Linked DNA regions of Kluyveromyces lactis. The protein of the gene in region 3 interacts with the protein of the main gene of each other region in a biochemical or structural test. Links are inferred from orthologs where the notes say so. Each region holds a gene or a part of one and is shown on either strand. Other genes may lie near its edges.

What was found.
Region 1: the proteins of CDC5 (region 3) and STU2 form a complex in vitro, tested with the Saccharomyces cerevisiae proteins (2 studies listed by BioGRID, with this or other methods). The link is inferred for Kluyveromyces lactis from reciprocal best matches to the Saccharomyces cerevisiae genes CDC5 and STU2.
Region 2: of the proteins of CDC5 (region 3) and BFA1, one has a biochemical effect on the other in vitro, tested with the Saccharomyces cerevisiae proteins (7 studies listed by BioGRID). The link is inferred for Kluyveromyces lactis from reciprocal best matches to the Saccharomyces cerevisiae genes CDC5 and BFA1.
Region 4: of the proteins of CDC5 (region 3) and SWE1, one has a biochemical effect on the other in vitro, tested with the Saccharomyces cerevisiae proteins (2 studies listed by BioGRID). The link is inferred for Kluyveromyces lactis from reciprocal best matches to the Saccharomyces cerevisiae genes CDC5 and SWE1.
Region 5: of the proteins of CDC5 (region 3) and NUD1, one has a biochemical effect on the other in vitro, tested with the Saccharomyces cerevisiae proteins (3 studies listed by BioGRID, with this or other methods). The link is inferred for Kluyveromyces lactis from reciprocal best matches to the Saccharomyces cerevisiae genes CDC5 and NUD1.
Region 6: of the proteins of CDC5 (region 3) and MUS81, one has a biochemical effect on the other in vitro, tested with the Saccharomyces cerevisiae proteins (2 studies listed by BioGRID). The link is inferred for Kluyveromyces lactis from reciprocal best matches to the Saccharomyces cerevisiae genes CDC5 and MUS81.
Region 7: the proteins of CDC5 (region 3) and BBP1 form a complex in vitro, tested with the Saccharomyces cerevisiae proteins (2 studies listed by BioGRID). The link is inferred for Kluyveromyces lactis from reciprocal best matches to the Saccharomyces cerevisiae genes CDC5 and BBP1.

The regions. Positions count from the first base shown.
Region 1 is NC_006041.1:1,460,548-1,464,773, reverse strand, and holds STU2 (Stu2p), read left to right. Parts: upstream 1-1,426; coding exon 1,427-3,925; downstream 3,926-4,226. Other genes in the region: SER2 (phosphoserine phosphatase), read left to right, coding at 1-475; thioredoxin TRX2, read right to left, coding at 543-857.
Region 2 is NC_006037.1:714,141-717,676, reverse strand, and holds BFA1 (Bfa1p), read right to left. Parts: upstream 2,331-3,536; coding exon 501-2,330; downstream 1-500. Other genes in the region: PRP39 (Prp39p), read left to right, coding at 2,811-3,536. UniProt on the Saccharomyces cerevisiae protein: Part of a checkpoint which monitors spindle integrity and prevents premature exit from mitosis. This cell-cycle arrest depends upon inhibition of the G-protein TEM1 by the BFA1/BUB2 complex.
Region 3 is NC_006039.1:539,022-543,035, reverse strand, and holds CDC5 (polo kinase CDC5), read right to left. Parts: upstream 2,628-4,014; coding exon 501-2,627; downstream 1-500. UniProt on the Saccharomyces cerevisiae protein: Protein kinase required for the cell cycle where it is involved in mitotic exit. A component of the fear (CDC14 early anaphase release) network which promotes CDC14 release from the nucleolus during early anaphase. Phosphorylates SCC1/MCD1 and NET1.
Region 4 is NC_006038.1:658,189-662,259, reverse strand, and holds SWE1 (tyrosine protein kinase SWE1), read right to left. Parts: upstream 2,670-4,071; coding exon 501-2,669; downstream 1-500. Other genes in the region: CCP1 (cytochrome-c peroxidase), read right to left, coding at 3,431-4,071. UniProt on the Saccharomyces cerevisiae protein: Protein kinase that acts as a negative regulator of entry into mitosis (G2 to M transition) by phosphorylating and inhibiting the mitosis-promoting cyclin B-bound CDC28 at 'Tyr-19'.
Region 5 is NC_006042.1:25,572-29,572, reverse strand, and holds NUD1 (Nud1p), read right to left. Parts: upstream 2,801-4,001; coding exon 68-2,800; downstream 1-67. UniProt on the Saccharomyces cerevisiae protein: Involved in astral microtubule organization by binding SCP72 to the outer plaque in a cell-cycle dependent manner. Required for the mitotic exit by facilitating the binding of TEMP1 to CDC15.
Region 6 is NC_006041.1:275,730-279,437, reverse strand, and holds MUS81 (Mus81p), read right to left. Parts: upstream 2,346-3,708; coding exon 501-2,345; downstream 1-500. Other genes in the region: CIN10 (Cin10p), read left to right, coding at 1-473; EFT1 (elongation factor 2), read right to left, coding at 2,815-3,708.
Region 7 is NC_006042.1:629,731-632,747, forward strand, and holds BBP1 (Bbp1p), read left to right. Parts: upstream 1-1,320; coding exon 1,321-2,517; downstream 2,518-3,017. Other genes in the region: KLLA0_F06512g (uncharacterized protein), read right to left, coding at 140-955. UniProt on the Saccharomyces cerevisiae protein: Component of the spindle pole body (SPB) required for insertion of the nascent SPB into the nuclear envelope and for the proper execution of spindle pole body (SPB) duplication. Connects the central plaque of the SPB with the half-bridge.

The DNA.
Region 1 (4,226 bases), on a different chromosome or scaffold from region 3:
TAAACCTAGATTAAGAGTCACCAAGGGTGTCCCAGAGCTATCGAGGGCGTTGAAGTCCCAAGGTTGTAAATTGGCAGTGTTAAGTGGTGGGTTCATCCCGTTTGCTAACTACATTAAGGAAAAGTTAAACTTCGATTTTGCATTGGCTAATACTCTGGGTGTGGAAGTGTCGGATGACGGTACTGAACAATTGAACGGTGAAGCACTCGGCGATATAGTTGACGGAGTGCGCAAGGCCAAGACGTTGGTGGCTCTTGCAGAACAGTACAATTCTCCGATCGAATCCACCGTCATGGTCGGAGATGGTGGTAATGATTTGAACGCAATGGCCGCAGCTGGGTTCGGAATCGCATGGAACGCCAAGCCAAAGGTCCAAGAACAAGCCCCATGTAAGTTAAACAGTGATACAATGATAGACGTCCTATACATCCTGGGGCACACTGAGAAGGAGATAGAAACCATGATCAAAGAATAGAAATGTAAAGAATTTATTCTGATATATATATAGTAAAATGTATATTATAAGCAGTGTACAAAAAATTTTACACGTTAGCAGCAATGGTTTGCTTGATAGCAGCCAAGTTAGCACCTAGGACTCTAGAAATTTCCTTACCGGACTTGAAGAAAACTAGGGTTGGCATAGCACTGACATCGTTGTTCTTTGCAACATCTGGCAACTCATCAACGTCAACCTTCAAGAAGGTAGCTTTACCCTCGTATTCCTTAGCGAACTTTTCCAACATTGGGGCAATCATCTTGCATGGACCACACCAGGTGGCAAAGAAGTCGACGACGACCAACTTGTCGTCAGTCAAAGCCTTTTCGAATTCGGATGCGGAAGTAAGTTGAGCGACCATTATATATGAAATTGGAGGGGATAGTAAAGATAAATTGTACCTTATTTGATGAGGATAGAAAGTTATCAGATTATCCGATAATCAATCGAAGAGACAACTAAATAACCTTTAAATGTATCTTACTTCCTTTATATAATAATGTTGGTTAAATATCGAGTTTTTGACAAATTTTTGCTTGCTAATCAGGAATCGAGAGCTGGAATCAGCTAGAACCCGTCCATTTGTAAGCAGGTGGAAGCGCCAACACTCGTGTAACGGTGTTTTGAATGGCTTGAATTGACTGTATAATGTTCAACCAACACGCATCAGCGCCGATTGAGTGATTGGAGGGGCGTGTACGTGTATAATAGATCCTACCCTCCCATTATTCAGGTTTCTGCAAACCCGATCCAAAGCATATCAACAAAGTCACGTGATATATCACATGACTTGAAATCAATCGTTTCTGTAAACAAAAACAATCAAAATCAACCAGTAAACAAACAAACAGACGAGACAACATGAATAAAATAGACGGTCAGTGAGTCAACACAGGGTGCTGCCAGCTGTATCGCGTGTGTATATCTCCCATGGATAACGCTACGGATGATTCGGCGTCTTTTCAGACTCTGTCACTAGATGAGAGACTTGTTCATAAGCTTTGGAAGGCAAGACAGCATGGATATAATGAGCTAGAAAGCACATTCAATAAACTGTCCGTTGCTAGAGTTGCAGAGAGTGGCGTTAATAAGTATTGGAAGAAACCTGAGATTTTCACGGGGTACGTATTGGATTCCAATGTTGTTGCACAAGAATCTGCCGTTAAGGCCTTGTACAGTTTGTTGAAATTTATGATCGACGTACCCCAGATCAGAGATTTGTGTCAGCCGGGTCAATTGGTTCAGGGCTGGGTTCCAGCTCTGGTGGAGAAAGGTATGACTTCCTCGAAATCAGCGACGAAAGAGGCTTCATTGGCCTGCGTTTCGCTTGTCGTGTCATTGGATGATAATATCGTAAATGCAATCAATTGTCTGACGCCGATTTGGACCAAAAAATTACCGAAGCTGTTGACTGCAGCGTTAATGGTTCATGTAAAGTTGATAGAGCAGTTTGGGTTCGTGAACGTTTCTCAACAGGAGAAGATGCAATCGTTACAGGGTCTAGTGGAAGTTTTACCTAAACTTTGCTCACATGCGGATAAATCTGTGAGGAATGAGTCAATGCAGTTGATTTTACAACTATATACATGGTTTAATAAACCTGTACTTCAAGAGCTTCTATTGGGGAAGTTGAAGCCCATACAACAGAAGGACCTGGATAAACTGTTTGAATCGTACCAGGGCACTATACCGCCTTCTTCAACACCGTCTCAGTTTATATGGGCAGTCCCGGCTCAGAGTGATAACAATTCAACTGATTTACCCTTGGATCATGACGGAGATCTAGCAATGGCAGGTAATAACGGCCAGTCTGCCGCTGCTCTGGATAACCAATCAATCGATCCATATGATATGTTCCCCGTACAAACTATATTAGATAAGCTACCGAATAATTTCTATCAGAGTTTGGCGTCTAGCAAATGGAAGGATAGAGTGGAAGCTTTAGAAGAGTTCCACGATCAGACTTTAACCAAGGTTAAAAAATTGTCAGCATCAAATGAAGATCATTCTGAAATCATTCACAAATTTTGCTCGACTATCACTTCCGATGCAAACCTACAAGCAGTACAAATATCTACCAGCAGTTTAGATATACTAATATCCGCATTAAGATCAGAATATAACCCATTCGCATTGGAAACTTTAAACGCTCTCCTAACTAGATCAAAGGAGAAAAAACCAAACGTCGCAGATTCTATTTTCAATGCTCTCCTGAACCTTTCAAAGTACTATAAATTAGAGCTATGTCTCGAGTCTGTGTTACAACACATGAAGAACAAAGTACCACAGGTAAAAATTGTATGCTCGAAATTTCTTTTCGAGTTGCTATCCAATTGGACACCGACTGAAACTCTTCATAGAACGTCGGTATTCTCCAATTTGCCAGCGATACTCAATTCTTTGCAGCCCATTGTAAACGACAATCAACAGGCAACAAGAAATGAGGGTTTCAAGTGTATTGCTATCTTAATTAAGATATTCGATGAAAGAGAACTATCAACATATTTGGACAAGCTCGATAACTTGAAAAGGAAGAAGATCCTTGAACTTGTTGATAAAGTGGAGATCAAGGCGGCAACGGTTCCACCTCCACACCAAACCCAACCGCAAACCCAATTAAGATCAGCGGCACCAGTAGTACGATCCCAACCCTTGTCTTCAACGATCCCTTCAAAACGACTGGCCACTTCTCCATTGAAACCGGCACGTAACTCTGCCTTGAATGGCAACACGAAGTCGTCCAGGTTGACTTCAAGGTCTCTAACTACTCATCAAATGATGAACCATACGGATCTGCCTTCCTCAACACAACCCAAATCTAATACCAGTTCCAACACAAGCCTCTCTGGCAATTTCACACCACAGACAAACATATCCAACAGAATGTCACATTTAAACGATGAAGTGAACAAATTAAGACAAGAGAGACAAGAATGGCTAAGGGAGCGCAACGATCTCTTATCCAACTTAAATCAATCCAATTTACAACTTTCCAAAGTAAATAAACTCTTGAACGAGTCTGAGACATACGTTTCCAATTTACAAAGGCAATTGCAGGATTCGAAGGATCAATTGAACGCTAAGAATTTAAAGATCAAGGAGTTAGAGAGTAAACTGACGGGCGGTACTTCCGATACCATGTCAACAGATTCACCCATATCCTCGTCCATTAGCAGAGGAAGATTAACAGCAACTACCTTATCACCTCTGAGATCTACTAAAAATGCTACGACTCCTCAAAGGGTCAGATCGCCTAGTGAAAGTAGCGACGATCTACCTAGACGTGTCAATTCCCTAAACTTGAACAACCATATGTTGCAAGAGGAATCGTGGAAACGAGCTGCAGAAGTTACGAACCAATTAAAGGCACGTATAGAAAGAATGAGGGCCAAATCCAGGTCCGGTTTCAACAATCTCGGCGTAGATTAAGAGAATCCACTATGTACAAAATAGATTCCTGTATAAACGACGAATTGAGCGCAAACTCCGACATGACAACCAGAGAGGGAAGCTTCCAGTCACATGACCTAGAATGCATATATTGTCCCGGGTAATATATAGCAACGTCTTCTCTCTGCTTATCTCTGGTGCAGCCTCCTAGTTTTTCCGAAAAGTTTCTTTTTCTCCAAAATTCTCCGAAAATCGTCAGATATTCCAGATATGCAACTAGAGGGAAGATACACCGTTATATGCATTTCAAAATGCAAATAACGGCAACTAAGCCCATCAC
Region 2 (3,536 bases), on a different chromosome or scaffold from region 3:
ATTCGACTAAACAGATCAGTCTTTGCAAGTATCTATAAATAATCTCAAAGTGAATCATATACCATAGATAAAACAAAAAGATACTGATTGGGAGCTCCAAAATTGATTCTGATATGGGATACAATGATACCACCAATATAATGTCTCTTAAGTACCAAATAGACTATTCTAAACCTCCAACTGTTGTTATTTACTTTCGTGTTTCATCTTAAAACTAATGTTGTTATATAAGGAAATGTTGATTTCCTATAAAAAGATTCTTTGACCGTGATCTATAATCGAATTCTGAACAAAAACCGATGGTTTTAAAGGGACTATATTAAGGAAATCAGTGCCGAATATGTAGTGCGATAGGCTTTGTAACATAGAATGACCTAGATGTTATGTTAGAGAGATTATTCCGTTCTATCATAAAAGATGATTTTTTATATGTATAGTTATTGTCTCTGAATAAATTAAATGCTATAGTAGGTGACACATGTCAGGACACTGATTCAGAATCAGTTACGCGCTGATGAGATAACCATATTCCTGATTTCGTACATGTATGATTTGTCATTTAAACTGGTATGTGACTGGTCTGCGGAACCAGTGTCTCTAGATTTATCACCAAGAATGAACCATCCACCTACCTTCCTGCTCCATTTATTCTCTTCATGGTAAAACTTCTCTAATTGTTTGCTTGTAATTTGGTACGTAGGATCTGTGGTTGAGTTTGTAGTCAAAGAGTGGAATCGTGTGGATTCTGAAGAGATAAATCTATTTCCATGCTCATCTCTTCCGAACGGCAGTTGAGACTGTGATCGAAGAATGTTACCAGAATGTCCTTGTGATTGGAATTTGACGTTCTTGGTAGGTGAAGATTGAGATCTTGGCATCAAGTCTGTGATACCATGAAACGGATCTTCTTCAGTACCATCAACTCGTAGCCATCTTAGGTTCTTTTCATCAAATCTCATTTTTCCCACGACCTTCCCATGCTGAGAATTTGAGGAGGCCGCATTCGTCCCTGATGCCGCTATTTGAGTAGAGGACGAAGTCTTCAACGGAGACTTTGACCTTTTGTTCTTGATGATAAACGCTTTCCGATCGACATTTTCAATGTTATCGAAACTGCTTAAAATATCCTCATTACCATCCCATCGTTTCTCCCTTGGGTTGTATTTCATCTTACCTCTTTTCAACGGCGTGTTGAGATCAATTTCTTGTCTTATTGTCTTTAAACGAGCACGAGCTCTTGTAGAATTACGTCTGTTAACAGCAGCAGCAGCAGCGGCCTGTTTTGCCGTACCCCGTTGTTGACGAGCTTCCCTATACGAATCCAACGGAGCGTCGAACGCATAATGCTTCTTATGCAGCTGTGGTGTTAATAAAGTGTCATCATGTTCGATATCATACTCTGAGGGTGATAAACGTAATGTTGGATCAAATGCTGAAAAGTTATTGTTGTTATTAGTAGCGAACTGGAAGTTATCGTCAATTCCTTCAAAATCATTACCGAAATTATCGTCATCGTCGTCTCCATTATTAGCCATTTCTGTAGCCTCAACAGCAATGTCTTGGACAACGTTACCGTCATCAGTTCTTTCACCAAACCTTGGTCCAAGATCCCTGTAACTCCTTCTAACTCTGGGCACATATGGATAGGGTTCATCATCTTCATCTTCATCGTCATCTTCGTCATCTTCGTCCTCAAGTAACACATCTTGACGGTTGAACCTCATTAACGATGGCATAGATGACTTATAACTGAGAGTTCGACCAGAACTGGGTCTAAGGTTCATATAAGACCTGCTGTTCGGTACTCGACGCGATTGCTGTGAATTCAAGCTTGTAATATTACCTTTACTACGGGTTGCCAAATCGACCATCGATCTACGCTGTCGTACCGAATCCTTCAACGATGGCCGCACTAGTCCCGCATGGTTTATATATTGATCCACATTTCTAGTACCACTACCACCACCGGTCTTAGAATTTCTCAGGTTCAATGATAGCTTCTTCTCCAGTTGTTCTTGCAAATCAGCTAGCTCGTCCTGATCCGAACTTTCCCTAAATCGTCTATCCACAGCAAGAGGTAGGTCTGTACCATTTTGGTACTCTTCAAAATCACTGTTATAGTTCATATCATCATCAAGATCGCTCGCCAGTTCCGTGTGTGATGAATACCTCTTATCCTTAGAGAATGTGGTATTTTCCGTAGTTGTGGATGTAGCTGAATTAGGTGCCAATCTCGGTACCTCTATATCATCTTTATAAGTAAATGTGCTTTCAACATCTTCAAATGATGTTTCTCCGACATCATCCAGTACAACTGGACGTATAGACATCGATAATCGAAGATTGTCCCTGGTCTTTTCCCTTGTTTATTCCTTTGTTTACATCTCGAACATACCTTTAATGCTTCCGTCATTGATGTATCTATTAACCTTAAACAAAATAATCATATTCGTGAGACGTGATACTATATTAATTGCTGTTTAAACCGCTGTTGAGACGCCAATTCTGCATTTCGAGCACTCCTATAAAACACTGAGATTCCCAGAATTCGACTAAGTTAATAATTACCTTTTAAACACTCATTTAGGCGCGTTTATCTCTGTTTGTTTTTCTTTCATGCTTCCAAAATGATTCAAAATTGCAAAGAACCGTATTATTGTAATTCTTTAAGATAAATCTCTGTTAAAGATGCATGATGCCACCAAACAGAACAAGAGCCTTTAGCTGCTATCCGTGAGCCGTTTTGAGTGTGAAGTCGGCAGCAGGGGTTTGCATATCAAATTTAAGAAGGAAACTAGGGATTTTATGAAATGTTTGAAGGATTAGACCAAACTTTTCTGAAGAATAACGATGAATGGGTGCAGAGTTATAATTCTGTTGACTGGAACGATATAACTACTATCGACAAACTGGTGGTTGGTACAGAAGCATTGGTACAGAAATACAATAATCCCAATGAACATGTGAAGAGCAATATATATAAAGTTTTTGATGAGTTATTGGGAAGGTATCCGTTATTTTTTGGTTACTGGAAACGATACGTTGCGGTGAAATATCAGCTAGATGGATTAGAAGGGTCTATTTCTACTTTAAAGGCATCTTTACATTCGTTCCCTACGTCGATAGATCTTTGGATTGATATGTTGAACGTTTATCTAACACATAATCAGAATGATAGTGAACTGATACGAAACCAGTTCAGGAAATGCGAATCCCTCGTGGGATCTCATTTCCTCTCGCACGATATTTGGGATAAGCACATTGCATATGAAACAAGACTACAGAACTGGGAAAACGTATTTGAGGTGTACAAACAAGTCATGCAGCAACCTTTGCATCAATATGCAAGATACTACACCAGCTTTAAGGAATTCTTGGAATATCACCCAGAGTTTGCTAATAGGGAATCAAGCATCCATTTGGATACCACATTTATTTCTAACCAGGAGAAGGTGAACAAAATATGGACATATGAATCACAAATAAAACAGCCATTTTTCAATATCCCTGAGCTTCCCGAGAATGAGATTCAGAAT
Region 3 (4,014 bases):
ATTTCTTTTGGGTTTTTTGGGTATTATCAGTACAGAATAGTGACCTTGTTTGCAATAAAAAAACCTTGGAAGGAACAAGATATTCGAATTTTGATATCTTCACATCTTTCTAACTTGTATACATTTGTTGTTACTTTTAAGATACAGTTTTTCTGGTGAGGGATCATGTTAAGATTCAATTATTAATTTATGTTAAATTAAACAAATTTATTCTGGCAGCCCCAGGCTTATTTCATCACAGATTCAAAATTAACTAATGAAACAATGAAATCTGACAGGTGAAGATATTTTGATACAGAATGGATGGCAGTTTTAGAAGTTGCAATCGGGGGAACACAACGATCAGGAATAGCTGGTATCATTTGGTATAAATCGTTGGATGCAGGAATGCGAAAAAAATACATAAAGGCGCTTGATGGACGTAGCCATACATGCTGGCTTGTACAACCAGATGAAGACATTCAAATGCAAATTGCATATTATCACAATGACATCCCTACCTAATGTATTGTTAGAACACTTGCTTTATCTCTCAAGCCCTCCTTCATTAGTTCTAGTTTCTCGAATATATCAATAGAAGGGAATCCTGGTACACATCCATCTATTAGAACACTCGAAAGCAGTAACGTTATCGTTTTACGATCAGATGAAATAAATGTTAAGAATTTACCTCCATGTGACAATGCAAATTTATTGTGATCCTTGAAGTTGAATTGGAAAGTACCATCACTCAACTCAAACATAACAAACTGTTTATAACGGGTGTATCTTCTCAAGAACACATCATCTTTATGATAAGTTTCACGGACCAGCGTAGAAATTCTACTCAAATTGGAGTTCATGTAATTTGAGAAAAAATCGACCACTTCAAGGTGTCTTGTTAATTCAATAGGTTTAGATTCTAATTTATAATGGCTTGCAACCCATCCTTCCTTAGTATCATAGTTAATATACCAGAATTCTTCCGCATCTGCTAGCTTTAATACTGTGGTTCCGTTGTTGAATAACACCCCGATATCGTCAGTTGATAACTGGTATGCAAATCCATGTTTGTTCGAATAGTCTACCCATTTTGTGACCACGATTGGGTCTTGTACGGTGGAGTCTGGAGAAGGATAGTTTGATTGCCTCTTATCTATTTCGGCACTCTTGATCCCTCGTAGTGTCATGTGGCATTCACTTGCAAGTATTTTCAGCGACATTTCGGATTTAATCATGTTAGTTGAAGTTGCCACCAACTCAGGCTTGAAGAATAGATTCTCTCCGGCTTTTTTCAGTCGATTTTGATATGCCATCTCGTTAAATTTTCTGTGGCCATCAAGATCGATAACTTCTTTATATTTATTTTTGGTTCCGCCTGGTGACAAGGATTGTGGTAAAACAGCTCTGTTTCTTTCTTCTTCTATTTCTGTTCTCACTAACTCAATTGGATTCTTACTACCATCATAAGAATGAGTTTGTGAGCTCTTAAGTAACCCTGAGTTTAGCATACATTGTTTCAAGTTAATCAATGACTCGCTGAAACTGAGGTGATCGAAATTTGGAATCTCCTTGGTTATTGTAGACGGTAATCTTGAAGGGAAAGTATTTCTGAACCATACGTTATCAGTTATTTCATATAACGATGGTCTGGCGGCTGGATTTAACTGTAAGAGATGTGAAATCAAGTTTTTAGCATCTGAGGATACCGGTTTGTCAGCTGGGAAAATGAAATCTCTACACTTAATTCTTTCATAGATTGTTTCAACTTCTTTTGCCTGGAATGGTGGTTTACCGAATAGCAATGCATAGAGCATCACACCAATTGACCAAATATCAACCTCATATGAGTGACCAGTGTGCTTTCCGGTGAGCACTTCTGGAGCAATATAGTTAGGTGTACCACAAATGGTATATTTACGCTCTTTATCATTTGCCAAGACAGCAGCAAGACCGAAATCACCGATTTTTAAGTTGTACTCTTTATCGAAGAAAATATTTCCAAGTTTCAAGTCTCTATGAATAACTCTTCTACTGTGCATATATCTTATGGCACCAATGATTTGGATCATACAGAATCTTACTTCAGGTTCCGTCAAATGTTTTCTTTGTCTTAATAATTCCATAACAGATCCGTTTGGACAGATCTCTAATAAGATATAAACGTTAGTATCATCTTCGAAACAGTCTGTAAATTGAACGATATTGGGATGTTTCATAGATTTGTGGATCTGAATTTCTGATAGTAATTTCCTTCTTGTCTTTTCAGATTTGATAGACAGTTTAGCAACTGTCTTCGCAGCAAATACTTTTCCCTTGTCATCCTTCATTTGGAAACAACGAGCAAATCCTCCCTCACCTAAGAAATGTCCTCTGTGGTAGTCCCGTCCTCTAGTCTTGATCAACGATGGAGGTGTTTTGCATAAAGAAGAGAGTTTTTCCTTCTTCTTTTTCTGAGGCGGCTGCTGACGATTGATATTATTATTATTATTGTTATTATTATTATTGGTGGGTTTACCATTCGTAGTAAGTCTATCTATATGATGCAGCTCAGTAACAACCCTTTTAGCCTTGATCGGTGTATGAATATTATTCGATCGAGCATTTAGCTGTTTATCGTTGATGATTTGAAGTGGTGGTGCAGACATGATGTCTGATTATTTTGTAGCTCTTTGATGGAATGATACTCCTGCGAGCTTTTGTTATGTCAAACACCCTTGTCGAACCAGTATACAAGAAATATCACTGCAATGTGTGATAAATAGTCTACACTTATCAACCTCCAGTAACTAATTTCTTTCTTGCGTGTATTTCCTTGGCCCGTCCAATAAATACCTTGCAATTAACGGTTTTGTGGCTCTCGATCAAAAAAAATGAATCTACGACGTCAAAGCACTGGCACCGTTGAAAAACTGAAGCGATTTAGGTTAACAACAGCAGAATGAGTACAACAACCAAGATTCTGACTGTTAAATGATGTTTCCGCTCACTGTAAGTCTTCCTTTCACCTGCAAGTTTGTAAACTAATATCAGTGATGTAAGTATTCCTAAGAATAATCGAACTTTCAACTGAATTATGGCAGTCGCAGTAAAAAAATGCTTCTAATATCAAAAGAACCCTTGTTATAAGCACTTGATACGTCTCAGGTAAGATGGTAACAATTAAAGGACTGAGTTCCCGCCCTCTCTTATGCCAAGTATGCTCTTAGGAAGTATGTAAAGAAAGACTGTATAATATTAGAATCTGACTTTTTTCCCTTCCAATATAATAGTATATTATACCAAACCCAGTACTTTTAAGCTGATATAAAAGCCAAACCAGTATACAAGGATACCCAAATAGTAATATCAATGACAATGAGCTACCGCAATTTACTGTAACTTCAAATTTATTCAAACCGACAAATTACTAGTTTTGTCAACTTTGAAAACACAAAACCGACTATTTACATTATTGAATTTTTTTCGACATTAACCAAATCTGTACAACGGAAATGAACAAAATGTAAACAATAACAAAACACTCAATGCGGTAAGTGCCAAAAACCCTTATTTCTTTAAAAGGACATTTTCCTAAGTAAGTATCTAATGAAAAAGCAAATAATTACCTTACCCGAATATTAGATCACGTGAGACTTTTTTTTTTTTGGGGGCAATTTTGAAAATTTACGGTTGTTCTATTTTCATTTTCACTTCTGCCCTTTACAGGTTAATATCTGTTGAATGTCTTGGATTCTTGAAAAATCAAATCTTCAAGCATTCGGTAGAAAAAGCTGATCTATTTTTTAGTAAGAGAAGAGGCACTGTCCTGATCAGCGCCTAAAGAAAACTAATAAAAAAGAAACATCCTAAACGGTCGAGAGAGTTCTATATTACTGGTGTCGGTAATATATCTACTTTAGAATTTCCTTTGTTTTATATTTACGATAAGAAATTTAAGGTTAAGACGGACCACAACCAAAGTAATTTGATATAGCCCATTTTAGAGCGCTACAGACTTGAATAGGCAGGTAAAAAGAACCCTATATAGTACTT
Region 4 (4,071 bases), on a different chromosome or scaffold from region 3:
TAGATAATTCAAGTTTTGGAAAAATATCAGAGGTATTAAAAATGTTCAAATACACTAAAATCATTATAATTTCAGATACTATCTAGCTTAAAGAGTGTTTGATAACTCATCATATTATTGATCCAAAACGCGAGTTCATTATATAAGAATTGTGGGTGTTAACCTATAAGTATGCACAAGTACGTGCATCCTCTAACGTGACCTCACGTCGTTATCCCCACCTGGTGTTCGTTTTTGTTCAAACGTTGCACACCACTGCATCTCTCTCGTTGTAATTTCTCATAAAGTCTCTGAATATCTGTTTAATATACATGTTCCTCATGTATATTTTTTATGTCAAAAAATTAAAAAACCAGTAAAAGTAAAAGGAAAATGAACGGAGCTGTTATTATGTCAGTATTAGGGCATTATAGAGAAAGAACAGACGTAAACTGGTTTATGTAAAGCTGGTTTATGTAAAGCTGAATATCATAACATGTTCTATATTTTCTTGAAGTGAATTAGGAGAAGAATTCTGGTTTTGGGCCGTAGTCATCCTCATGAATAACTGCACCTGTCTTTCTTGTTAGTTCTACATATTCTAATTCCTCGGTGCGGAGTAAATCAGATGCAGATGGACGATCTCTGTAATCCGGTTCGATCATCCATCTGATAGTCCTTTCCAGCGATATTCCGTCTAATAAAAACTTCGGTACCCACGCTGGAATTTTTGTCTCATGCGTTGTGATGTCAGTGATATTCGTATGATCTTTTTTATTGGAAAAGAGTGAGCTCGAATGGATCTCCGCACTACTTAATCTGCCAGCATCAGATAGATCACCAGACCTCAATTTATGCCATGCACTTCCGTTATCAGGCAAAATAACGTTAGCAGCGATTTCAATCATCATTAGCCCAAGGGAGAAGATGTCAGCACGGAAATCGTATATTCCGTCACGTATAATTTCCGGGGCAATATATTCACGGTCACCCTCGTTTTCAAAACTTTTATCTTCTATTGGCAACTTTGTAGCCATCCCAAAATCAGCAAGTTTCAAATTACCTTCGAAAGTTATGAGAACATTAGCTGGCTTCAAATCTAAATGAACAATTGAACAGGAATCATGGATGAATCTCAAAGCTAGACAGATTTCAACGATAATCTTCCATATCCTCCAATCTTCCAATCGTTGTTGTTTAGCAATGACGTGCTCTTGTATAAAAGCATCTAAATTTCCATTTTCGCAGAATTCTGTCATTATATAAAATGAACCTTTATGTGACCACGAAGAAATAAATTCTACGATATATTCCTTACCTTCTGTGTCATTTGTAACTGAATCCTGAATTGTTGACAACATATTGATTTCTTGTAGAATTCGATTGGTAAAATTATGTTTAGTTGGTCGTACACTTTTGATGGCGTATTTTAAACCAGTTTCTGGGAAAGTCACTTGGTAGACAGTAGAAAACTGACCTTTTCCCATTATGGATACATTACTGAATTTGGTCGTTAGATGGAAATCAGGGTTTTTCATGATACTTGCATTGATTGATCTTTGCTTCTCAGGTGGTTGAAGATGTGTTGGATCGTTTCGCAGTTTTGTCATGATAGCCAGAGAATCAGGACCAATATCAAAGGATGTTTTCGTTGGAGTTTGAAGATTTGTCTTTGAGGGTGACGGTGAAAAGATTGAACTTTCTTGATCGTGTCCGTACAAATCGTCCGTGATTTGTCTCAACATTGAGGTCAATTCTGTGTTCTTTACAATTTTAGTTCTCTTTTTAGATCTTGGATTAGAGGAACTGGTAGGAGAGTTTTCTGATGAAGGTAACACGGTATTTATCATCGGGGGAGATTTGAAAAGTTGGGAATCATACATCGTAGGAAATGTCGTCTGATTTTGTGCTGACATGATAGATGAATGCTCTAATATTGGTGTGTCCAAAAGTTCTTGGTCAGAATGTCTCGAAACCAGCGGAGACTTCTTCACAGGCGTATCTGGTATTGTCAACTTCTTGGGTAGAATTGTTTGTTTCATTTTGGAAATAAGGCCAGATGACTGAAAAGCTACAGGATCCGGTTTTGCTTCTGTAAACGAATTATTACTTTTTCCTGTAGTCTTAGTGGAGGACAAATCACTAGATGTTGCAGCATTCGTACTATGCCAACTCTTTAAATATGCAGCATTGTTCTTGGAAAATGGAGAGGATATATTGAATCCAGTCTTGCTCACAGTTCTCTTTAAACTATTAGATGCTGAATTGGAGGCACTTGTAGTGATGAGGGGCCTTTGAAGCTGTGGTACTCTGCTGTCGATATGGGACTGATTTTCCTCATTAAACTTTTGATCTTTCACATCAGGCGTTTCAGTCTCCAATGAAAGATTGAGAACACCAACACTTCTCGTAAGACCCAACGGAGTGTCATTAGAATTAGATCTTGAACTCAGAGGTTCCGAGTAAAACTTGAGATTATTGGAATTGTTACTGAAGTGCGAAAGCTGGTCATAGTAATGAAACTCAACGTCCAGGTCCATATCCGTATCAAGATCGACATCACTTTGGTATGCATGGTCAGTCTCTTCTTCATTTATGTCTTGGTAAACTTCTACCCGAGGTGAAAGTGCAGTGTTGACAGTTACGCGCCCAAAGTTTGGCTGCAGTGAGTTTTTCCGTTTCGATGGCATTGTTTATGTCGTGCTTTTGATGATCCCCTTCGATGAGTACTTTATTCTTCAGTGATTACTTTTTGTCACACCGTCGAGTAACTATTTACTGAAACAAAAACACCCAAATTATGGCCCCTTGGCGGGTGGGTTCTCGTTGTCCTTGTTCTGAACTGTCAAAACAGAACCTGGTACAGAATTAACAGACAACCAGGAAAGCTGTCTTAAAACAACAAACAATAGACTTTTGTCAACTATTGGAAGGATCCAATAGAACGAATCTAGTTGATGGTAGAACTGTGATGGTTAAAGTGTTGAGGTTGGTTCCTCTAGATCTCTTTTTTTTTGTTTTCACCTGTGTGTTTACTTCATCGATTTTTGATCTTCTCAACACGTCGTTCTGTTTCTATGTTTTTCGTTTTTTTTCGCGTGTTGATGATTTTCGTGGCAATCGTTAGGCAACTGCAAAGACGGGCCATTCCCTAACATAACACACTTGGCAAGAATGAGCCTGGCAGGACTATTATATGAGTGGAAGGGCAGAATTTCTATGTTTCAGTGGGGATCACTGTTTCTATCGAATGTGCGTCTGTTCAGAAACTTGCATATCGTCGTGTTTTTTCTTATCCGATTTGAATAAATAGACAGTTATGATAGTTCACAACGTATATAAGAACTAACATAAATAATAAATAGCAGGCACTTTATGATATGACGGCCTGATGCTGCAGTGTTTTGTGTGTGTTTATGTGTGTGTTTTGCTTGATTCTTGGAGTAGAAACTTATAAGTCTTGGGCATCAAGGGTCTTGAATTTTATAGGTTTGTTTTCTTGAGGGAAATCAATACCGTTTTCAAGTAATACTACAAAGGCCTTGGTGAATTCTTTAAAGAATGTGTCTTGGTCGTTTGCAAATTCTTTCACGATAGGCAAGTATTTCGGATCCTGTACCAAGGCCATATCTGTTGGTAACATCATCCAGCCCTTATCGTTGACGTATTGTTTGTTACCGGCATCGTTAGTGATGAGGTCCCATTTTTCGTTTAGCAGGTTGTTGTAGAATTCATTGGTGAAGATATTGGTGGCAGCACCCCATGGGCCTTCGAAGCCAGAGTTCTTCAAATGTGTCTTACCCAAAGCATGCGCACCCAACAATGCAACTACTTGTCTATCTTCGAAGTTTAGTCTGTGGAAGAAGCATCTCACGTATTTCGCATCTTTAGAAGCATCAGGTAATCTACCGTTTTCTGGAGTAGTATCCTCAGGTTGGTCCACACGACCAGATCTCCAAGGAATTGTGGGACCTTGCATCTCTTGAATCGCCGTAACGCCAGCCAAACTATATAAATCACCATGAGATAACCAAGGGTACTTCTCGTGGATTGGTTCCAAGAACTTCGCAGCGTTTTGCAACCCATTGTTGG
Region 5 (4,001 bases), on a different chromosome or scaffold from region 3:
ATTTTGATAGATTTCAGTTGTTTTTTACTATTTTCTATTCTTTTTTTTTCTTTCATTTGGATTTCCTTTACCCCTCCGTACAGAGGTCACACTCCACAAGGGCGGGGCACCAGTGGAGTAAAAGACGGAGTAAGTCCTTGTTTCTGCGTTGATGCACCACCAAATCATGGTTAGTGCCGCTCCCAGTATTTATTTTGTCGGTACCACGCAAAGGTTCTTCTAGCACAGGGTTCTGTAGTATATTTAATCGGAGTAAATTACACGGGAGTGAAGGCAATAATATTTGTGCGGAGTAGATGTTATTACCTTGCATATCTAATGAGCTTAGACCCGTGTTATTCGTGAGCGTTTGTGGGACTCTTGTGAGTCCTAATGAGCGTAGGGTTACCCGACGAAGCTGTGGTGGGAACTCGAAACCTTCCCATGCTGATGATGAGTTTGGATCGGAACCAAGCTTTTGCTTTCTACCATTAGTGGAAGTTCCAAACATTTGCTTTGATGGTTGACGCGGACTTGAATGAGGCATCCCAAGGATTTCCAGTTGCTCCAATGGGAATGACATGGGGAATCGTTCGGATAATGGTATCAACGATGCATTGTAGTTAGGACTCTCTATATCGCTATTATTGTTATTTGTCATATGTGAATCGATTGCATTCTCTTCAATATTGATGCTGTCCATCGCCACAGTAATTCGTAAGATTCGTAGGTTAGGAAACCCGGAAAAGGAGTGTACAGGGACACCGCCATCTTTGATACTTAGGTAACGCAATTCGGGGTTTCCTACTTCAATCTTCTTTCCAACACGACTCCTAGAACCTTGATGATATGAGCCACTATGCAATTGTTCAATCGAATTACCATCTAATATTAACACTCTCAAACTGACCAAATAATGTAGGTTTTTGAGATTTGTGATCCTATTATTTGACAAATCAAGTTTTGTCACATGTTGCCACGGTATAGGAGAAGTTTCGCACAATTGCTTGAAGTCTATGGAACCTATCAATTTGTTATCCTTGGCGATAATCGTATCAACTTTGGCGAATTTTGGAAGGCCCATCAAAGATACAATACCGCAATTGGAAACGTCCACGTAGTGTAGATGTGACAACGGAGCAGTGAACCTAAGATCTTGCAATGCACTTAGGTTGTTGTCTGAAAGATCCAAATGTTCGACATGCGGTAAGTCTTGAAATTGTAGAAGTTGCGATCTTAGCTTGTTATTAGAAATATTCAAACTTTGTATATGATTAGGTATGCCTTGTAACGATATCAACTCATTGTTAGACACATCGAGGTTGATTAAATTCGGCAATAATTCATCAATACCAGTACAGGAGTCCTTTATTGCTTGATCAGATAGATCTACTTCGTACAGAGTCTGCCAATTGGTTGGGTTGGGTTCAATCTCTAATAATCTCGATACAATTTCTCTCTTGGTAAGATCGTAGGAAGTATCCATCCGGCTAATGCTAGTTATATCAGCAATATTGGCGGTGCCCTGAGAATGAATGTTCGACAGTTCTTTGTGCAGTGATGAAGAAGGATAACGAGTCATTGGCTTATCCGTATCTTTTTGATAAAAGTTTCTATTGAATTTGGGTGTACTCAATGGGGTGTCATCAGTAACAGTGTTTAATGTTACGTTGCTTCCTAAATATTCATCATCTAACCCACTTTCAATTTCACTATTGGCCGTTGCAATGACCGGAATTTGAGTATCTATACAATTGTCCAAGGTAGGGTCTCGTTTGAATGAATCTGAAATGGGTTTTAGACTAGAATGAGAATTCGAATTCGAATTAGTTGTTGTCGAATCTTCCTCCATAACAAATGAGCCGGTACTGTTTTCCGATATATTGGAATCAGCAGCGGCTATCATACGTTGTTTATCCCATAGTCCAGTTTCATGATCAAATACTAACCCAGCATCTTCTGGAGTTATCAGAGGTAACCTTCTGGTGTTCGTTACAATTCTAGGCTTAGGACTAGGTGAGTTGAGATTCGATGGGTTCAGTTCGGATAGAGAATCCGAACTTGAATCAGAACCCGATTCAAAATCTTCTGATCCAGACACGGGACGGGATCCGGACTCGAAGTCTGAATTTATGTAGTTCCTTGTCTGATATGGCTGGTTGGCACCATTTGAATTCTTAGTATTCTGAGTGGTTAGGGTATCATTGTCCCTGAAATAATTGGATCTTTGGTTTTTCAGAACATTTTTAAAGACTGATTTTGCTTCTCGTGCAGGATCAGTTTCATGACTTAGACTACTGAGATCGTTCCTTTCCTTCTTCTTGAATGTATCTGCAGGAATTAAAGAAAGATCACTTAATGATGCTGTCACAATTAAATCCGATACATCTTTCGCAGATTGGTCACTCTTTTGCTTTGGTTTGAGTAAATAATTTTTCCACTGAGCCTGTGGAGCATCGTTTCCTTCATCCAAGTTATTTAACCTTTGCGCCATGGTCCCATTTGTTTTCGAATCCTCCTTCAAAGCTTTTACTGTACCGTAGTTGACTGACCAATCGTCCATTTTGCTAAGGAAAGAACCAAATTGCTGTGGCAATGGGTTTTCATTTTCTTTATATGGTTTAAGTTCAGCTTTTTTAGTCTTTTTAAGTTGCACTTTCTCAAGCGTCGGACGTTCGATTGCTATACCAGGTTGTTCGTTTTGATCTTCGAAATCATCACTGTTGATGAAATCTTCGAAATTTCCGTTTGATCGCTTTACAGTATTGACCTTCTCAGGACTCGTAATATGAAAGTTTTCTAAACTCTCAGCTAAATCCATATCGATCAATTTGAGAGATGAAATGAGAAGATGTTGATCAGTGAACTCTTACAGACTGCGCAGTAAGGTGTTCCCCACTTAGTTTGTTTTATTTACGGGTGTTCTGATTCTCGCCAGAGAAATGTAAGCCTTACAATGGTACGCGAAGCTTGTACAAGCAATGACGTGGGAATAAAAGAACGATTGCAACAAATTCGATTGGACACTCAACTTTAGATATAGAGCACTGAAATCTAGAGATTTGATCTTTAGGAGTTCCGGTAGGTAAAATAACGCGAGAGGGTAAACCTGTCTCACCTTTGTCAACTTTTACTTGCGCAAAGATCTCTTCAAAAAATCTTGTTTGTTGCTAGTCGATGAAGCACAAAATGCTAAATAAAAACTTAATCAGCTAAGGATTCAACGCCAATATTTGAGAGCTATCAATCAATAGCTCGTAGAACCGAACAAAGAAATTGCCTATAGCTTTTGTAAGCTTTTAGAAAACGAATGGTATTCTACAGTTATCTGTAACTGAATTCACTTCTTGTAAACTCATAATACTTCAACAATTAGCAGAGCTTCTTTCAATTGGGCGTTTGTTTTCATTCTCGAATTTAATCTTGTTTTTATTATTGTTTTCATGTTTTTCTCAAATGCACTTTCTGCATTTGCGGAGCGCTTTCACAAAGAGAAAACTATATAGATAAATGATACAATTGCATTTAGCAGACATACATATACACCTATAAAAAGTAGGAAATTGGACGGCAAAAACAAAGTGTGACATCTGGCGTCTGTCGTTTCGAAACAGTATTACTTTTCTTCTGACTTCATGCCACAATGTGTAAAGCCTTAAGAAAACCGAAAAAAAAAACATAAACGGTATAAAAAGTATGAAAACTGATGTTAGATTCCTCGCACGTTGTTTGCTGCAAAGAAAGATCGATAACTGATGCTATCAAGAAAAGATGCGCTGTAGTACGACAGTAATATAATTGGGATTCTCGACAATATTTCTACTGCATTTACATTGGTGTAGTACTTCTATGCGTAGAAAAACTTGAGGATTCAATGAACTCCGTCATGTAAATTCTAATGTATATCGGATACACAGTATCGCATCGAATAAAGCCCTTCTTATCTGCGGTATAAACGAAAAAACGCTGCAGAACCTTTTCTACTGACATTTCAGATCCCGGCTGGAATACAGCTATAACCA
Region 6 (3,708 bases), on a different chromosome or scaffold from region 3:
TCACCTTACTAGCAATGAAGTTGATTGACACGATGGGAAAAAGAACCTTGCTACTCATGACTATATGGATTATGACAGTAGGTTTGTTATTATGTTCTGTTGGTTTCGAATTGAATAACCTAGCGCTATTGGTTGTATCTGTGATTGTTTATGTTGGTGCTTACGCTACTGGTATGGGAGTAGTACCGTGGAGCAGTGTCGAATTTTTACCCCTGAACCGAAGAGCTGTGGGCGGATCTATGATTTCCTGTACTAATTGGTTGACTAACTCTGTGTTGTCTTTGACTTATTTAACTATCACAGATAGGATTGGAAACGAAAATACGATGCTACTCTTTGCCTTATTTACTATATTCAATTGGCTGTTCGTTTATATTTGGTACCCGGAGGTGAAAGGTTTATCACTTGAAGAAATAGGTCAAGTGTTCGAAAATGGCGTGGATGTCCACTTCATTTATAGAAATTATCATTAAATAATGAGATTGTATTATTTTTGTAGTTCACAGTTTACCAAAAGTTTCCCATAAAGTATGTGACAGTGATTTTCCTATCTTCCTGTTACCTGGTGCATCTTTGAGTTCATTTTGTATCAATGTTTTTGCATCTGCTTCTGCTGCACATCTTCTATAAGCTTTTAGTAGAGTTTTGAACGTTGGATATCTGGATTGAATCATTAGTGCTTTTTCCAGTGAGATACCTTTAACTGACATAAGAGCGCGAAGATAAAGTTCCTTTACCGTCATAAGGTTTGTTTTTACCATGGCTGATTGCATTGATTCATAGTTATGACAACATTCAATTTCTTTATTTCTTTCGAACTCTGTTCGGAACATCTTCAATGAGGTTAAGTATATGCTCTGATTAGTGATATGATCATGGTTTATTACAACAAGAGACTTTCTTGAATAAAGCTCTTTGATGATTAACGACATATCAGTGAGCCATTGCACGGTTGTGTCAGCATTCCTGGTTCGTTTAATATGGAAATCATTATAAATTACTGTAGTCCAAATACTCGTTTTCATCATATCAGCACTGTCACTGACATTATAACCAGTAGTCTCTTCCACGAGGTAAAATATGTGCTTGCATCCTGTCTTCTGTAGCCTGTTCTTCTGCTCCGAAAACCTGTTGTCTCTTATACTAATAACCAAATCATCTAATCGTTTACGTTCCACAATGAAATCTAACGCGCACTGTTGCCCTGATTGTTTATGCTTTGCAAGCCATATCATGTCGCCCACCGTGAGACTCGAGGATTCAGTTTCTATCCCCCGTTGCAACAGCTTCCTCGCAAAAAACCCTCTATCTTCTTTCGATCTCACTTCACGATGATCAATATGTAAAATTATGTCGTAACTGTCTGGTTTCCAGAGCTCGTATTTTACGCCTTTCCAACGACCTTTTGATACCTTTTGCTTTGGTATAGGTGTTGAAATTTCTGCCGAAACCTCAGGTTCTTCATTCTGCTCAATTCTGCTGGAGTTTGCCGTTGCATCAAGAAACAATCTTGAAGAATTAGCACTTTCGTTGATAGACATATTTGCGTGATTCATAAGTCCGCTAAAGTTCACCGTATGATCATGTTCATCATTTGTAAAAGAATTCTGAGTGTTGCCCCTGTTAAGTCGCCTCTCGTATACACTTGACACATCAAACTCAATATTGTTGGCTGTCTTCAAACTATCTGCTAATATAGTGCCTGCTTCCGTTAGGCTGAATTGAGATGGCCTTCCTTGTTCTATTACTAAATCATTAGTTTTCAATGATTTGATGGCGCTCCAGGCGCTATAAAACTCTTTGGTGGACGGATTTTTCTCGTAACTCTGATCACAATATTTTGATGCAACAGCTATAAGTTGTCTACGTGTGCAAGCCGTCCCATCCTTATCACATCCCAATTCTAATAGGCCTAGCAAAATGCCATAACCGCCGCTTCTATTCCGGGGAATGTATTTTTTCTTGCGACGTTTCCTAGTACCCTGGCTTTCATTTTCCTCTGGCTCTAAGGTTCGTACTCTTGTTTTCTGGGTATTACTGGGGTTGCTGTCATTCTGAGTGGACTGTGTGTTATCCGTTGAGCTTGACTCCTCAGGGAAAGAATATCCATTCTCTTCGCAATACGTTTTTAGGCGCTTCGATAATTTATTCATAGTAGTCTGTCCAATACCTTTAACTTTAAGGAGATCTTTAGGATGATATATAGGGTCGGGATAATTCTTTAAGGCAAACAATGCTCTGTTCAAGACCATCACTAACTTTTCTTGATGAGCTGATGTACTCTGGTTTACCTCTTGCTGAAGGAATTCAGCATAAAGCTGTTTCGCATCACTAGGAATGGACATTTGTAACTGAGGGAGATATCAAAAGTATGTGACACCCTATGAATGGCTCTCGTAAGAACAGCCTGGAATCACCTCTATTATGTATTTCTTCTATCAGGCACAGCGATGATTAGGTTTTTCATCTTCCATGATATAATTTCTTGATCTTTACGTGAATGTAAACAAAAATATAAAAGAAATTAGATCAAGCTCATAACTACGCCGAGCACATCAGATGGGTTAGAAAAGGGGAAAGAATCGAATTTCACGATGAAAAGAAATGGAAATGCTTCCCATCGTTCTCCATTTTGAAAATAGAAATGGACTACGTGTTCTTATTTTTTTGTTTATATGTTAGTATATTGCATTAAAGTATACTTACTGATTAAAAGACTTCTAAGATAGGAGCTATACAAAATAAGGTATGAGTGTATTTGTACAAATATAAAATTCCATTGAAGGAGAACGAGAGACTACAATAAGAGCTTGATTACAACTTATCGTAGTATTCTTGCCAGCCTGGAACTTCTTCCTTCATACCTTGTCTCTTTCTAGCAGCCAAGACAATTTCACCAGCCTTGGTGGATGGGTCCAATGGGTCAGTACCTAGAGTGGCCCAGTGATCGAACACCATCTGTGGGAAAGCTTGACCACCGGTAGCTTGTCTCAATTCACCAGTGAAACCGAAAGATTCGTTAATTGGCAAGTAAGCCTTGACGGTGAACAATGGAGTACCTGGTCTTTGTTCTTCAGAGACGACTTGACCTCTCTTCTTGTTCAAGACGGAGTAGATACCACCAATAGCTTGTTCTGGACATTGAATTTCGACCAAGAAGACTGGTTCTTGAATCTTTGGTTCAGCCAACAAGAAACCGGCGTAAGTAGCCCTTCTCATGGTTGGGATGATTTGACCACCACCTCTGTGAATGGCATCAGCATGCAAGGTAACATCCAAGATGTTAACTCTAACGGATCTCATTTGTTCACCGAAGATTGGACCCTCCTTGGTAGCCCATTGGAAAGCAGCAACAACGGAGTCCTTGATTTCGTTCAAGTATTGGACAGCCTTAGTTTGGTCAACAACCAAGTTTGGACCGTTACCGTCAGGACCGAAACACCAGATCTTTCTGGCGTCAGTGACATCCCAGCCGAATTCATCAGCCATAATTCTAGCTCTGGCCTTGAAATCATCTCTTGGGTTGATCTTACCACCTTCGATAGCCAAAGAAACTTCTTCATCGATTGGTTGAGCCTTCAAGTAGATTCTGTTATGCTTGTTTGGAGACTTAGACAAAGCAGTTTGGGAAGATTCACCTTCAACAGTTTCTCTGTAAGCGACAACTGGAGGAGAGATCTTCAATGGAATACCAGCGTGGTCGTTTTC
Region 7 (3,017 bases), on a different chromosome or scaffold from region 3:
AAAGTCAAGTAATCAAGATTTCCGAGTCATGTGACATTTAATAAGGTTCATACAACGGATAGGTTCCCATTACTATCTTGGGTTGCCAGAACAATTTCTTGCTTTACATTCTTCGCTTCTTGTTAAAACTAAATTTCTGTCAAAGGGTACGGTCAGTTTCGTGGAAGAACGGGACTGAGACCAATTCGTGAGCTGTTTTGATATATAAACATTCTGTTTCTGGATCCACCCACTTGTCTTGGATGTTAGTTGCACCCTTACTGTAAATGACGGTGCGGACCTTGAAAGGGCATTTCGCATTATTGAACATCAGGTAAATTAAAGACTTATCTTCGGCTATGTTCGTCATGACAATGCCATATACTGGGTAAAAAACCTCTTCCGTTTCAGCAGACATATAAGAGCGAACAATATGGTATTTATGATACCCTATGGGTAAAACAACTGTGGTCAATAGGTCAACCTGGCCTGATTGGTTGAACTCATAGGTATTACAGAATCGGCATACAGTTTTCAATTGGTTGTCGTAATTAACCGCTATGAGTTGGAAACCTCGATCCTTTAATACATGTACTTTACTATTTTCAGAATCAATCGTGATGTAGCCCAAATCTTCACGTTTGTCTATGTTGTAAATGTTCAGAGATGCCCTTACTTTGTCGTAAACCAGGAGTGTGGACAGTGACCAAATGGCATAAAATGAATCTATTTGGTACCCAACATCTACCACTAAATCTTGCTCCAAGTTGAGATTCTGCTTTTCGATAGTATATATCTTGATATCCTGTCCGTGATTAACAAGTATAATCAGTCTTGTCTCGTAATTCTCCCATAATAACGACTTCATCGAGTTGACTTCATACTGCAACTTCAACTCATCGTTTTCATAAATGTATAATCGCGAAGCAGTAGCAGCGACATCGTATCTTTTCTCACCAGCAGCTTCTAATGACATCAAACTGGGGATCTGGGTAATTTTTGCGATGAAAATCCCGATCAGTCCACTATTCCCTGACCATCCTTTATCCTTACCTGTTTCGCTATTGTTTGTATATGTGCTTTTAGTTTTTCTTTTGACATATCTAACATCAACAAAAACATCTAAGAAAACCTTTAGAACAGGATGATACTCCAAGTAGAAAAATATTCGGGTACGTTTTGAATGTCACAAAAGCAGAATACTTGATTGTTCGATCATAGCCACTAGTTGACCAACTGTAACATAACTGGACCTTATACGGTCGATAGCAGGTTATTAATCCATTCATCTTTTGCGGAAATATAGTTCTACATTGACAAGGCCAAAACAAAAGTATAGTTATGGGTTCTGATGATACGGGAGGTCTATTCAAATGGACAATTGATGCGCTATTCAACAGAGACACATCTCCATCTACAATGTATGATAAACAACTGCAGCAAGACTCATTCGATGAGGAAATATACTCAAGACCTAGAGCCTCATCTTTCTCGGATCCAGATATTTACTCAAAATATGAATTATTACGAGATGAGGACGAACCTGACTTATTGAGACCTGTTAGCATGAACGGGTTACCTTACGAGAAGCAGGATACAAACACTTTCCACGCAAGAAGAGCAAGAGAGAGGCGAGTTCAAGAAACGCCAAATATTAGACGAGCACCGAATCCCAACGATCCCATAATCTCAAAATTATTTCAAGTCGATGAAGATGATTCACAGTTAAACACTAATGAGATGAGGTCGCAACGAGAAAAATTCAACACTGGACGGTTACCGGGCAAGTTTCCATCTCCAACTAAGCAGTATAATGCTCGTATATCCAACAGGGATGCATTTACTGGAGCTGAAAGAAAAGCGGCATCAACAGCTCCAGCAATACCACCAGTAGCTCCATCAGTGCAAAACTTGGATTACACACCTGAATATGTGAAACTCATGGATAAATTGAGCTTAAACAACAAGGAGCTACGTGATTTAAAGGTAGATGTCAGGGAAAGACAGAAGCACGGAATGGAAAAGGAAACAGAATTGAAAAAGAAGTACCTACAGATACGACAAGAACTTATACAGGAGCTAAAACAGTCCAAGATGATTTATGATAACTATTGCAAGCTATACTATAAGTACAAAGGGGTGAAACGTTCCATCCAACTGCCGACCCAAACACTAGCCTCCAATTCTTCAATGCTAGATAAAATTGCGTCCTTGGAAAAACAAATCGTTGATTTATCAATAGAAAAAGACAGGTTAAAGAAGAAATCAGAAGAACGTATCCTATCCGTAGAACTACAAAAGAAGGAGTTGGAAAACAAATTTGAAGTGGAAAGAATGATATATGAAAGACGGATAAAGGATTTGGAAGAAAAATTGTATGTTCACGAACACCCAATACGACCTGCAACAGACACTAGTCCAGTGTCATCTTCATCATTCATGCCGCATACTCAAGAAACTTCTGACAGCACTGCTTCGCCATATAAAGAATACAACAATACGATAGACACACAATTTCTAAGAAATCTAGTCAAATAACAAGAGAAGAAGCTCAAAATTGTAACAATAAAAAAAGTAATAGTAACGGTAACGTTCTAATTAATGTTTTGTCCAGAAAAATCCCCAGATAAAACCTTATGTATTATTATACTAGTAAGTTTAACTTGGATCTAAGATATTCCGAAACCAAAGAAACTCGAGAAAAAAAGAAGTGTAGGCCAAAAACTACATAATGGCTAGGCTATCCTTCGTTGCACCAGAGTTTCCAGTGCTACCTACTGTTTTTTCATATTGTACTGTATACAGTCTTATTTAACTTTCTACACACGAGTTAGATAATCCTCAACAGAAGTGCATGAGAGATGGAAAGCTTTCTCGCAAATAAGGACACTCTCATAATAGCTACCATAACGAGGTACTGTTCGTGTATCACATCACGGAAACTTTCCTATTATTACCCCACAGCTGAACGCGACAGATCTCTTGTAGTAATTACCTCCGGACCCTCGTGGATAATTCCAGCACACTAAACGCAGAGA